Ovis aries: one gene and its partners. The protein of the gene in region 1 binds, or shares a complex with, the protein of each later gene. Links are inferred from orthologs where the notes say so. Each region holds a gene or a part of one and is shown in the gene's direction. Other genes may lie near its edges.

The links.
Region 2: the proteins of FST (region 1) and INHBA are in contact, whole or in part, in a crystal structure (PDB 2P6A), measured with the Homo sapiens proteins. The link is inferred for Ovis aries from reciprocal best matches to the Homo sapiens genes FST and INHBA. Residues at the interface, in NP_037541.1 of Homo sapiens: Trp33, Arg35, Val44, Leu45, Arg60, Phe76, Met79, Asp135, Glu152, Pro154, Glu155, Val180, Val181, Asp182, Gln183, Tyr188, Val190, Arg221, Thr224, Cys225, Arg229, Ser230, Ile231, Gly232, Leu233, Glu328; in NP_002183.1 of Homo sapiens: Asp315, Phe327, Asp337, Trp338, Ile340, Ala341, Gly344, Tyr345, His346, Gly360, Thr361, Gly363, Phe368, Thr371, Arg397, Ser400, Leu402, Tyr404, Asp405, Asp406, Gly407, Gln408, Asn409, Ile410, Ile411, Lys412.
Region 3: the proteins of FST (region 1) and GDF11 are in contact, whole or in part, in a crystal structure (PDB 5JHW), measured with the Homo sapiens proteins. The link is inferred for Ovis aries from reciprocal best matches to the Homo sapiens genes FST and GDF11. Residues at the interface, in NP_037541.1 of Homo sapiens: Leu34, Arg35, Gln43, Val44, Leu45, Tyr46, Lys47, Thr48, Arg60, Ser62, Asp72, Asn73, Leu75, Phe76, Met79, Ile80, Leu134, Asp135, Arg149, Gln153, Pro154, Glu155, Val180, Val181, Asp182, Gln183, Tyr188, Val190, Thr191, Asn193; in NP_005802.1 of Homo sapiens: Asn299, Leu300, Gly301, Leu302, Glu310, Arg312, Asp328, Trp329, Ile331, Ala332, Lys334, Arg335, Tyr336, Lys337, Tyr347, Met348, Phe349, Met350, Pro354, His357, Gln361, Ile380, Asn381, Leu383, Phe385, Asp387, Lys388, Gln389, Gln390, Ile391.

What each region holds. Positions count from the first base shown.
Region 1 is NC_056069.1:25,761,226-25,765,256, reverse strand, and holds the start of FST (follistatin), read left to right. Parts: upstream 1-1,231; 5' UTR 1,232-1,415; coding exon 1,416-1,500; intron 1,501-3,499; coding exon 3,500-3,691; intron 3,692-4,031. UniProt on the Homo sapiens protein: Multifunctional regulatory protein whose primary function is to antagonize members of the transforming growth factor beta (TGF-beta) superfamily including activin, myostatin, GDF11 or bone morphogenetic proteins (BMPs).
Region 2 is NC_056057.1:80,952,308-80,956,250, forward strand, and holds the start of INHBA (inhibin beta A chain), read left to right. Parts: upstream 1-1,143; 5' UTR 1,144-1,300; intron 1,301-3,943. UniProt on the Homo sapiens protein: Inhibins/activins are involved in regulating a number of diverse functions such as hypothalamic and pituitary hormone secretion, gonadal hormone secretion, germ cell development and maturation, erythroid differentiation, insulin secretion, nerve cell survival, embryonic axial development or bone growth, depending on their subunit composition.
Region 3 is NC_056056.1:163,715,400-163,719,458, reverse strand, and holds the start of GDF11 (growth/differentiation factor 11), read left to right. Parts: upstream 1-1,259; 5' UTR 1,260-1,262; coding exon 1,263-1,707; intron 1,708-4,059. UniProt on the Homo sapiens protein: Secreted signal that acts globally to regulate anterior/posterior axial patterning during development. May play critical roles in patterning both mesodermal and neural tissues. It is required for proper vertebral patterning and orofacial development.

The sequences.
Region 1 (4,031 bases):
AAATTTAAAAGGCAGCTTTGAAATAAACAATATAGCATTTTCCGTGAAGTAATCGTTTTATATAAAAGGAAATATCGCCTCCTCTGTTTCATTCAGCGGTGCCAAAAATGTTATAAATGAGAGACCCGCCAACTTTCAGCGAAGAATGCCAGGCACTGTGCTTAATAAACTGAGGCTACAGAAGTTCATTATCGATGTTGCAATCTTTTTTATTCCGCGAACCGAGAGAGACTGAGGAGACTGGGAGTGAGAGAGACAGACACAGGACAGAAACTGGGGAGTCTCCGAGCCGCGGAAGGGGGGTAGACCGCCTACGTCGGCGCCCCCGCTCCGGGCTCCGACTCCTCCAGAAGCTGGGAAGCGAAAGGGGAGAAAAGAAAAGGAGAGGGCGAGACTGTGACGGTGGGGGGGAGGCCCGGCCCGAGGTGTTAAACATTTTTGTTTGCTTCTAACTCGTCGAGACGGTGGGCCGCGTCTCCGCCAGGTTCTGCCCGGGGTGGAAGGTGCCGGGGCCCGGGGTTCCCAGCCACAACCCTGGGCTCGGGGGTGGCCGCGGCGCTCGGCACGCGCAGACCCAGACAGACAACGTCGCGGGGTCCCGCCTCCAGGCTGCGGGGGCCTAACACGGCAGCGACCGGACCTCCGGCGGGGTATTAAGGCAGCTCGGGGCTCTCCGGGCGTTTGCGAAGTCTTCCTGGAGCGGAGGAGCAGCGTTGCGATCAACTCCCGCCCTGCCGCCCGGCTCCGCTCCGCCCTGCCCGCCGCCGCCTCCAGCGCCCACACCGCGCCAGACACACACACACTCACACACACACACACACACACACACACCACCCCGGGCGCGCCGGCGCTGCCAGCGAGCGGCGGCGTGCAGGACTTGAAGTGGGTGTTCTTCCCCACTCCCCACCCCCGAAGCGTCCCCCCCACCCCACCCCCCCGCGCCCGGGTCTCCTGCCCCCTCCCTCTCGCTCCTACGCAAATAAGAACTCGGCGATTCCCCTCCTGCCGCTTTGATTTCGGGCACCTCCACCAGATAATTGGGAAGGGTTTCAGAAGGTGGGAAATGTCACCTGATTCACACTGAACTTTTAAAAGCTCCCCACCCCCAAGGAACCGCGCACACCCTCGCTCGCGGCCGCCCTCCCACTGCCCCACACACTGGGAGACCGCCCACCGCAAACCGTGGAGACCCCCGTCTAGATTTAAAGCGCGGCTGCGCCTGGCTTCTGACGTCCATTGAATCGCGAGGGCGGCCGGCGGCAAGCGCTGGGCTACGCCGGGATATCTGCGCCCTCCGCTGCTCGCCTCTGCGACGCGCACCGCTTGCCAGAGCCACCCGCCGCCGCGCCCGCTCCCCGCGCCGCCGCGCCCGCTCCCCGCGCCGCCGCGCTCCTCGCCCCGCGCCTAGACCCAGGATGGCCCGTCCTAGGCACCAGCCCGGCGGGCTTTGCCTCCTGCTGCTGCTTCTCTGCCAGTTCATGGAGGACCGCAGCGCCCAGGGTAAGCGAGGCGGGATGCGCAGGGAGGCTCGGAGGAGGGCAGGGGTTTGTAGTTTTCGGGCGTCTCCACCGGGTCTGTTCTGAGCAACTCTGCTTTCGGAAGATGTTGGACCAACTTAGCGAATCCGGGATGGAGAGGAGTGGGAGAACTGAAGGCAGTGACACTTTAGAACTGGGAACCGAGTTTGGAGCGCAGTTATCCTTTAAAAGGAAAGGGAGTGAGCTAGAGTCTCTCTCAGTAGTTAGGGTTAGATGCTCCAAGTTCTGGATGTAATGAGTGTAGATGTTATCTCCCCTGTTTGGCTCTGAAGAAGGGGATAAGCATCGGTAGCCTGAAGATTGCAATCGACCCATTTGCAATCTAATCTCTCTCCCTCGTGCATCTTTTGGATACTTTAAAAAACGACTGAGTGGGGAGGGGGGAATACTGAAATTTCCTCGGTGACTGCGGGACGTGGTTTCAGAAACTTTGCCCAAACTTGGAAATGAGGGTGCCGAAAATTTTAGAGGGAAGTAGCTTTCTGCCTAGTGGATGCTTCGTCTAACCCCCTCCCCCCAACCCCGCAAAAAAAAAAAAAAAATTACCCCGGACTGTTTTGAAAAGTTTACAATTTTTTCCCCTTTTGTCTCATTACTGATTGTTAACTTTCTGTAGAACAGTGAGGAACCCACAATTGATTTAAATTCTGAGATGCAATAAGAGCAAATTTCTAAAGTTTTTTTTAATTAGATTTATCTCCATTAGTCTTGGGCAGAATTTTTAAAAATAATAATAGCAGCTTGCAGTCCAATTATTGTTAAAGTTATATGGATGATTCATGAGAAGTCTTCCTGACCAAAATCTGAACATTAAAAAGGAAGAAGGGGGGGATTACTTGCAAAGATATCTCGGTAGGTATGATATAGGGGTATATGAGACAGGGGTATGTGTGTGTGTGTGTGTGTGTGTGTGTGTGCGCGTGTATGTATGTATATGTATATATAACCATGAAACGATAGTAAGTCCCTCTCCCACCTTGTTTCCCCCCGCCCCCAACCTCGGTACTTTTCTTGAGGCAGACTTGTAACTTTCCTGACTTTAGCGTTATTTTATGCGTGTTGTATACGGCCCCTTAGGCACGGCCCCTAGCCGCCTGCGATGCACTACTGCTCTGAGTTGTCCACCTTTCGGAGCGAGGCGCTGCCTGACTGCCCGGGACGTGGGCGCCGGGGAAAGCAGCCCTCAGAGATTTCGAAAGATCGCGGTGGCCGCGGGCGTCCTTTGGGTCTGGAGGATTGCAAAACGGCCCGTCGGGCGGGCTGCGCCTCGAGGCCGCGAGGGGCAGCGCCGGGCAGGGCCCGGTTGCTTTTTTGCTTTCATTTTTCAGAAGTGCCTTTTGCGTGATCTGTTGCTGTATGTGTGTGTGTGTGTGTGTGTGTGTGTGTGTGTGTGTGTGTGTGTGAGTGTCTGTCTGTCTGTCTGGGTCTCTCTCTCTCTCTTTTTCTTTTCTTTCTAAGTTCTCCTACTTTCTTAACCCCTGTCACAAATAATACTCGTACCGCCTACATGAAACCGACATGTAAAAACATCCGTCGCATCCTGTTTTTGTCAGGTTCTTTAATCTGCTCTTCGAGTCGCTGCAGGTTATGAAATGGGACGAATAAAAGTAAACAGTCTAGTAAAAGTCAATGCAAGCTGCACGTGTTGTGTCTGGGTCACTGGTAACTGACATTGATATGGCTGGAGCGCTCGGGCTTCTCGCTCTCGCCCTCCCTCCCCATCGCCCACCTCCCATCTCTTCAATCTGGTCCCCCCACCCCACCCCCCACCCCTCGCCTTTCTCCACCCCTTCACTCCCTCTGATTTATTTTCTGCTTTTTCTCTGCCGTCTCTCCTCCACGCTCACTCCCTCGCCATCCCCGCCGGGTCTCCTTCCCTTGCCGGCTCACTGCCTTCCTCCCCCTACCCAGCCGGCGCCGCCGGCTCACTTGCCTACCTCCCCACCCCTGTCTCCCCGCAGCTGGAAATTGCTGGCTCCGCCAAGCAAAGAACGGCCGCTGTCAGGTCCTGTACAAGACAGAACTGAGCAAGGAGGAGTGCTGCAGCACTGGCCGCCTGAGCACCTCGTGGACCGAGGAGGACGTAAATGACAACACGCTCTTCAAGTGGATGATTTTCAATGGGGGCGCCCCCAACTGCATCCCGTGTAAAGGTAGGGCTCTTCCTCCCCAGCCTGCAGGCCCTCAGTAGAGGGCGTCTTACCCTCAGCTTCCCCCGTGCCCAGCCGGGGTTTGGGACTGGGAGAGCTTTGTTTGTGGGTTCCCCTGTTAGGAACCCTGGTAAGCTGATGGGGCTGAATCGCCTGTCACACACTACAGGCAAAACAAGGGTCGCCAGAGGTTCTCGGACTTCTTAGCCAAATGTGGCGGTGAAGCCAGCCAACCCTTGCTCATTGAGGGAGATTTGGGTACAGGATGCAGCCCACTGTCCCCCACCCTTCCCTCTTCTCAACTTCCGGGCAACAGCCTAGCCCCTTGGGCTCAGACTCCTAG
Region 2 (3,943 bases), on another chromosome or scaffold:
GGATGTGATCGTTCTAGAGACCAACTCCATCTTCATCTTAAGACCAGGAAAAGCTGTTTTGAGCAGGACCTTCCTCCTTGGGACAAGGAACCTTGGTGAGGTTTGGCCCCTATATGCCTCCACCTGAGAGCTAAGCTTTTCTCTGGGAGTTTGAATTTGAAGGTTAGGGATGATGGCTCAGAGGGGGAAAGTGTGAATTGGTAATCGCTTTCATATGACACTTGAGAGATGTTATAATAAAGCTGAGTAAATTGGAGCATGAGTTAGCCGGCCCTTTGCCTAATGATGTCACCCACTTTCTGCTTCCTCCAGCCTATGATTAATAAAAGGGGATTATTACAGTAACTCACTCCTAGTGGGCAGTAGTGACTTCAGCACCAGCTGAGCAAACTGACTACATTTAGTCGTGCGTGTGCATGTGGGCATTTTTTTTTTCCCAGTGACTAACATGAAACTAACAGCATCTAGTAAAACAAAAGCTCCTTGAAATTTGGGGAACTTCTTGGGTGAACTTTTTTCTCCAGGGATCACAGTTTTAATTACTCTCATTTCATACTTAAATGAGGCAAAAGGACAGGATTGGCTTCACGTCCCCATTTATTAAGTGATCACAAATTCACCCGTGGCTTGTTGGAAAAGAGGTGTTCTGAAGCTTTTTTTCCTTCTAATACATTGTCTCTTCCTTCCTCCATCATTCGATCCCATCTTTAAAGAAGAACTTGGTAAATATCCAGAAAAGGGGGACAGGAGCTGAGTTAATTTTTGAAAGTCTAAGGCTAGGTGTAGACCCCAGAGAGTTCAGTGAAACTCTCCAAATACTGTGCTTAATTATAGTGTGCTTTCCTAAGTTGATAAAGACTAACGGAAGTCCTGCCTGCCAAGGCACCTTTGCAAACTTGACCTTCCTAAAATTAGAGTGGGGCACCTGTAAATATTTACTAACCAAGCCACAGTGTCAGTGTCTGTGAAAGTACACCGTGCCCAGAACAAGGGCACTCCTGTCATGCAGGCCTGGATGGGCCTGGGGGTGCTCCAATAGAAAGGTAGAACCTTTGGACTCTCTATCAGCACAGGAAGGAGGCAGCGATTCACTGATTAAAAAAAAAAAAAAATACACACAGGACTTCCCTAATTCTTTTCTGTGTCTTCCCTCCAAAGCTACAATTTGGGAGCAGGTTGTGGATGGGCAACATTGGATTAAGATCAAGATTCCTTCTTTTATGAGTCTAATGGCATCTGTAGGCTAAGCTTCTGAGTCTTCCAGGCAGCAACATGGAACTTTCAACCCAAGGGAATCCAGGTGAGAACCACAATTACAACTATTTGTTATTCGTTCCTTTGCAAGCATTGTTCATCATCTTCTGGGACAATAGGAAGAGCAACCAGATGTTCCCTGATTGGATTAGAACTGACTTTTGATAAACACTTTCAAAATATTATGTTGGTTAGTAAGGCCTTTTCGTTTTAGTGTTGCTTTTATTTCTTTTTCAATATCTATTTTTCTCTAGAGGTTATAACTGTGTATTTCTCTCTCTAGATTGAGTTTTTCACCAGGACTAAATGATTACTTCTTGGGAAGAAATCCAGGCTTTTCTGAATCATTTGGAAGTGGATGGAAGTCTTTGGTTCTAAAATAACCATCTATTGCAGAAACTAGATTCAGGTGTTGGCGTTGATGAGATGGCATCTGAGTGTCTAAGACGTTCCCCTCTTGCCTCGTTCATCTCAGAACATTCTCTGACTGACCCTCTCCTCTCTGGATAACCCAGGTCACTTAAGAACTAAGTGATAAGCCTGGAGAGCTGGCCTTATTGTATAGAGATCAGCATTTCACATCTCAGCTAGATGAATCCAGCCAAATTCCCTTTTGTGGGTTTCACCAGCATTTGTTGATGATGCTGATTATTTTCTGTGATATGGTCTCCTTCACAATATTTCCCCCAGTCCTCACAGGAGAGTAGCACCTGAAGGGGCATGGCCTTCCTTTACAAAGGAAATTTGGAGAATATAAAGTTGCTTGGAACATGCATTAGATTTCGCAAAGCACTGTTTTCTCTCTGTGGATATTGATTGTGTGTCATTCCCCCAAGGTATTAAACAAATAAAATCAGCCACATCATATTTGCTTGCTCTGGGAGCAAAGCATGGTAATCCCACTTTTGCGAATTTCACTTCAGGGAATTTGCTAGTGAGTGGATTTCTCAGATACCGACTTGCTCAAATGAATAACTCACTCCCCATTCACTTTTTGTCTTCCATTATCCGTTGCCTCCTGACAGCTTGGGTGGGGGCTAATTCATCTCGCTTTGCTGCCAGTCACCAAGATTTTGCTTTTGGTTCGAACACAAAGCCAGAAGCAAATACTTGGAGGCCTCCCTGGAAAGTTGGTGGGGATGCTTGAGAAGCACCCTTGCTCTGCTGTGCAGGCTTCTGGTAATCAGGAAGCCCAAGCCATACAAGGAGGCAGAATCACTTGAATGATTCCTCTCTTGCATAGATGCCGGGGCCCCTTGGAGCATGGATGGGAAGGAAATTAGGTGAAACTTTGGAATGATAACTCAACGTCAGGGCTTCTCCACTGCAGAGGAGTTACCATTTGGTGTCGGATGATTTCTCTGCTGAGACGGCTGTCAGGGGCACCATTAGAATGTTTAGTGGCAGCCCTGGCTTCTACCCACTAGAGGCCAGTAGCACCTTCCTTCCCAGTTACACCAAGCAAAAATGTCTTCAGACATGGCCATATGTCTCCTGGGGAGCAAAATCATCACAGTTGAGAGCCACTGCTGTAAGTGGAGTGATAACAGTTTATTTACTGAGGTTTTTCTTTCTGGTTTTTTCCTTAATCATTTTAATTCTAGGGTCTGGGTTCCCTTGGTTCAGGTAAGGCACTTCCAATTACTCTTAAAACAGAGTAGTTGCACATAGGACAAGGCCTTGTGGGATATTCTGGTGGTTTAAAAACAAAAAACAAAAAACAAAAAAACAAAACAGGATGCTTAGGAATAAGAGTTTTAGATTAACTATTTCTGATCCTGTTGTGTTCTAGTGAATTTTGGAGGACTTTTTATTAAAAATTTACTTTATTGAAGTATAGTTGATGGACAATGTGTTAATTTCTACTATACAGCACAATGAAACATTTATACATATATATGCCTCCTTTTTCATATTCTTTTCCATTATGGTTTATCACAGGATATTGAATATAGTTCCCTATACTATACAGTAGGAACTTGTTGTTTATTCATTCTATAGAACAAGAGTTTGCATCTATTTATCCTAAACTAATCCATCCCTTGGAGAAATTTTCATGTTTCCCTCTTCCTCTCTATTAAGTTGTATTTATTCATTGATTTGACCAGCAAACAGCTTCCTAGTTCAGTTTAGAATGTGAAATGCTCATTCTTCCTTGTCCCAAATCTCTCTTCCTAACCCAGCGCCCAAGAGATGGGCAAGCTCCGGCTGTCCAGGAAACAGGCAGGGATTGCCAGTTCCCTATTCAACCCAAACCATTCGATGAGACTCCGGAAATCTCCCGGCAGCAAATACCACTCTGGATCCCGCCCACGTTTTCTGGATCCGGAGAGGCACTGCCTCTCGAGGGAGTCACCACTCCCCACGGAGGCAAGGTTTTCCTGCCTGGAGCCCAGAATAACACGTCAGCTGCTGAGAACACCTCGAATCTTATTGATTTCTCCCTCTAGTCACGTTTTCTGTTCGGTCTCCCAGACGGGGGGATGAACCAGAAATCATGCTTTTGGGGGAACAGATTTTTCATAGGAAGGAACTAAAACACCCTGAATCGTCAGCAGCCTAGTCAGTGCTGTGAACCCCCCAGCCTCGTGCCATTTCGACTGAATCAGATGACAAGGTCCCAGTCACCTGCTTGGGGCGTTCACGCCTCCTAGCGGGATTTTTTTTTTTTTTTTTTTAAACAGAATAA
Region 3 (4,059 bases), on another chromosome or scaffold:
ACCTGGGAATCCAGAGATCCCGATTGCTCTGCAAGCACAGTGGTCTCTGGCGCTGCTTCCTCTCACTCCTCCAGCAGTGGTCCCCAGTCCCTGCCTTTTCCAGCCTACTGACTCCTTTATCAGTGAATCAAGCCTCAATTTCACATTCACATTCTTCCTGGCTCCAAGTCTTCCTCTGGTCTCAGGACTTCCCACCAGCTCTCCACCTTCTCAGGTTGGCCCTAGTCTCTTTTTCTCCTAGCCTCCCTTGCTAACCTCCATGTCCAGTTCTCCCATCTCTTGATCCCCCTGAGGAGACCAGCCTGAAGCTTCTCTCCAGGCCCCTTTCTGATCCTGGGGTCCTTCTCATAGCTGGGGCTCCTCTGGGCTCAAATTCTCCACTGCCTCCCCCTGAACTCTCAGTGCTCCCACCAAAGCTGACTCTCACTGCTGGGCTGTCTTCCCATCTCCGTTTTCCTCTGATTCTCCGCGTCTGCTTCCTCTGTGGGGCTCCCTTGGTATCTCCCAGTCTCTGCCCGTGCCGCCTTCCTCCTCCAGATTTCATTCCCTCTCTCATTCCCGGGCTTCTGGTCCTGCTCCCATGTCTGTGCACCCCTCAATTCCTGTGGTCTGGCCATACCCCCTCTCCTCCCTGGTGGCTCTCTGCCCTGTCTTCTCTAAGTCCCCCACTCGTTATGCCTGTCACTTTCCTTCTCTGTCTCTCTAGTTAAGTCTCTCCTCCCAGTGTCTTCCCCCTCCCCAGACCCTCTTACCCCTGCCTTTGTCTCTCTCATCTCTTCCTCCTGCTCTATCTTTGTGCCCTTGATCGGTGTCCACTTCCCCCCTTTATCTCTCAGGATCCCCTTGGTCGCTCTGACTCTGACTTTCTCTCCCTTCCTCTCCCTCACCCTAGGATCTCTGTCTGCCTCTCTCTGAGTCCTCGCTCCCTCCCTCTCTTTTCCTCGGCTCTCTCCGGCTCCCTCTCTCGCCTCGGATGACAGCGCTGCCTCTTTTGTTGGCTCCGCAGCCAATCGCGGCCGCTGACGACACGGGGGCCGGGGCTATAAAGGGCCTGGCCCGGGCTCGGGCCCCCCCAGCCGCCCGCCCCGGCCGCCCGCCCGCCCCGCCCGCGCGCCCGCCGCCCCCGGCCCCCCCGGCTCCCCCTCGGCCGGGCAGCCCCCAATCCCCACGCCGCCCGGACCCCCTCCTCCCCCTCCCTCCGCCCCCTCCCCGCGGGACTCCGGCGTCCCCGCCCCCCAGTCCTCCCTCCCCTCCCCTCCAGCATGGTGCTCGCGGCCCCGCTGCTGCTGGGCTTCCTGCTCCTCGCCCTGGAGCTGCGGCCCCGGGGGGAGGCGGCCGAGGGCCCCGCGGCGGCGGCGGCGGCGGCGGCGGCGGCGGCGGCGGCGGGGGCCGGGGGGGAGCGCTCGAGCCGGCCGGCCCCGTCCGTGGCTCCCGAGCCCGACGGCTGCCCCGTGTGCGTGTGGCGGCAGCACAGCCGCGAGCTGCGCCTGGAGAGCATCAAGTCGCAGATCTTGAGCAAACTGCGGCTCAAGGAGGCGCCCAACATCAGCCGCGAGGTGGTGAAGCAGCTGCTGCCCAAGGCGCCGCCGCTGCAGCAGATCCTGGACCTGCACGACTTCCAGGGCGACGCGCTGCAGCCCGAGGACTTCCTGGAGGAGGACGAGTACCACGCCACCACCGAGACTGTCATTAGCATGGCCCAGGAGAGTAAGTGGGCGGCGGGGTAGGAGCGGTGGGGTGCTGGTTCCCGCTCCGGCTCCGAGAAAGTGAGCGCCTCCGGCTCCGAAGCGGGGCGCTCCGGGTCACTCCGGCCGGAAACCCTTTTCTGCGAAAACTTGATGGATGGGGGGGCGGGGGCTGCTCCACAAGTTTTCCGAGCTGTGGAGATGGGCTGCGGAATTGTGTGCCCGCCCCGCTGCCGGAGGTGAGGGGGCAAACGGAAAGGGTTGCGAGATACCGCCTCGCACCCGTGTTGTGGGGATTCTGTAGCGGAGGGGAGGGGGCGGCAACTCATCCTGAAGGGTCCTGGTGGAGAGGCTGGAGAACAGAATCGGCAGGCTCCGGGACTCGCGCAGTCCCAGCCAGGCTGCCGTGCTCTCCGCCTCTCAATGGACCTGGCACCGACTCACCGCCCCGTACACCTTGGGCTTTGCAACGCGCCCCTCGGGCTGCCGAAAACCTAGGGCTCCTTTCCGCCTCCCAGGAATGAGATCCCGAGCCCTGTATCTCAGCCAGGGCCCAGCAGGCACCCAGCCGGCACCCATTCCACCGGGAGCCCTTCTGACACCGGCTCTCCCCAGGGGCCGAGAAAGCCGTGCCTTCTTGGTACTAACAGAGCTCAGAGAACTCAACTCCATGGCGCTGGGGCTAAGGGCACCCATTTGGCAACTCAGACCTTAATGTTGTATCTTATATTCACCCGCCTCTAGCCGCAACCAGGCTTGAGGAGCGAGAGAAAGACTGAGGGAGGAAAAAAAATTTGGTAGGAGGGAGGGGAACCCAGGCATCCTAGTCCCTGGCCAAACGTAAGATGAACATGTTAATAGACTTGAGCTGCTTTGAAATTTTATGGCCTGGAAAATCCAGGCCAACACTGCCCCCCCAACCCCACCCCCTGCAACCCCCCCAGCTCTCCCTAAGGTCAAATGATGCCCTTTCCCCCTCCTCGCACTGAGGTGTTCCCCCCACCCACCCCACCCCCAGCAACTGCTGGGAACCAGATCCCCTCATTCCCTTGTGGTTTGGCAAAGTCGCCCCCCTCCCCACCAACTGGTTTTATGGCTCTGAACAGAAGAGGGGGAGACTGGTTTATTGGCAAATGGGTCATAAAAAGCTGAGGGCTGAGGGGAGTCCTAGCAGCCCACCCCCAAGGGAGAGGCACAGGAACCCAGGTGTGCCTCTGGGAGGCTGAGTGCCCAACACTGCCACCAGTTTTTCTGTGACCCTAAGGCCACAGTACTTGGTTAGGGCTGTAAAGAAAAGCACACTCAAGGGACTAGGAAACTATCCTGGGGTGGGGGTGGGAAGGTCTAGGATCTGGTCTTGAGTTCCTCAGTCTCCCTTCTGTTCTTAAGGTTCTGCTTTTATACAAGCAATGGTCAGACTGACTGAGAGCAGAGATGGGGGTTAGAAATCAAGTTAGAAACAAGAGTGGTTGAGGAATTCTGAAGAAGAGTTTGCTGGAAGAAGATGAAGGGTATGGAGGAAAGAGATACTTTGGTCTATGCGGTGCGGGTGTGTGAGGATTTCGAGTGTGAGGGATGGAGCTGTGGACTTCCCCTTGCTCATTCTATCCCTAGCATCTCTTAACCAATAGGCCAGAGCCCAGAGATCGCTCTGGTCGTTGGGATGCAGGAAGTGAACAGATGCTGCACACACAGTTTGGGAAATGCAGGTTAGACTCAGGGGGTGGGCAGAAGGGGGAAGGACACCAGCAGGTGGGGTTTCACCTCAGCTTCTACCCTCCAGCCACCCCAGGGCTTGGATAACTAGGGAACTGGGTCTCCAGCCAGGTATTGTACGTCCCCTTTAAGAGACAAGCTGAGCTCTTAAGAGAGGGAGGGGGAGCCGAGGGGCGGGGAGGGAGAGAGGGGAAAAGGAAAAAGAGACTTTTATAGTCTAATCCCCAGGGACCCGCTTTAATAAGAGACTTGTGCTCTGCTAATCGGGGGAGGTGTTTGTCAGCAGAGATGGCCTCGGCTCCCCTCCCCCTCCCTCCCCTCCCCCCAGCCCTCTACCCTGGACCCCAGCCCCCACCTCTCCTAGGCTGCACTGCCTGCCCTAGTTCCCTCCACCCTCTCAGGCTCTCCCACCCCAGCCTCCATCCTGGGAACCCAGCCCCCTTGCCCTTCAGGGAGCCAAGCCCAGCCCCTCAGTTTCTCTCTCTCCTCCCTACACCCAGAGGCCCCTGCCCTCTCGGTCCAACCTCCTGCCCCTAGGCTTTCCAGCCAGGGTGAGGAAAGTGTGTTTGGTGTTTGGGAGTGGGGGGTGTGGGAAGAGGAGGAGGTGGTGAGCAGGGAGGGGGTTGGGCTTTTGCTGAAAATAGTGCAGTGACCTCTC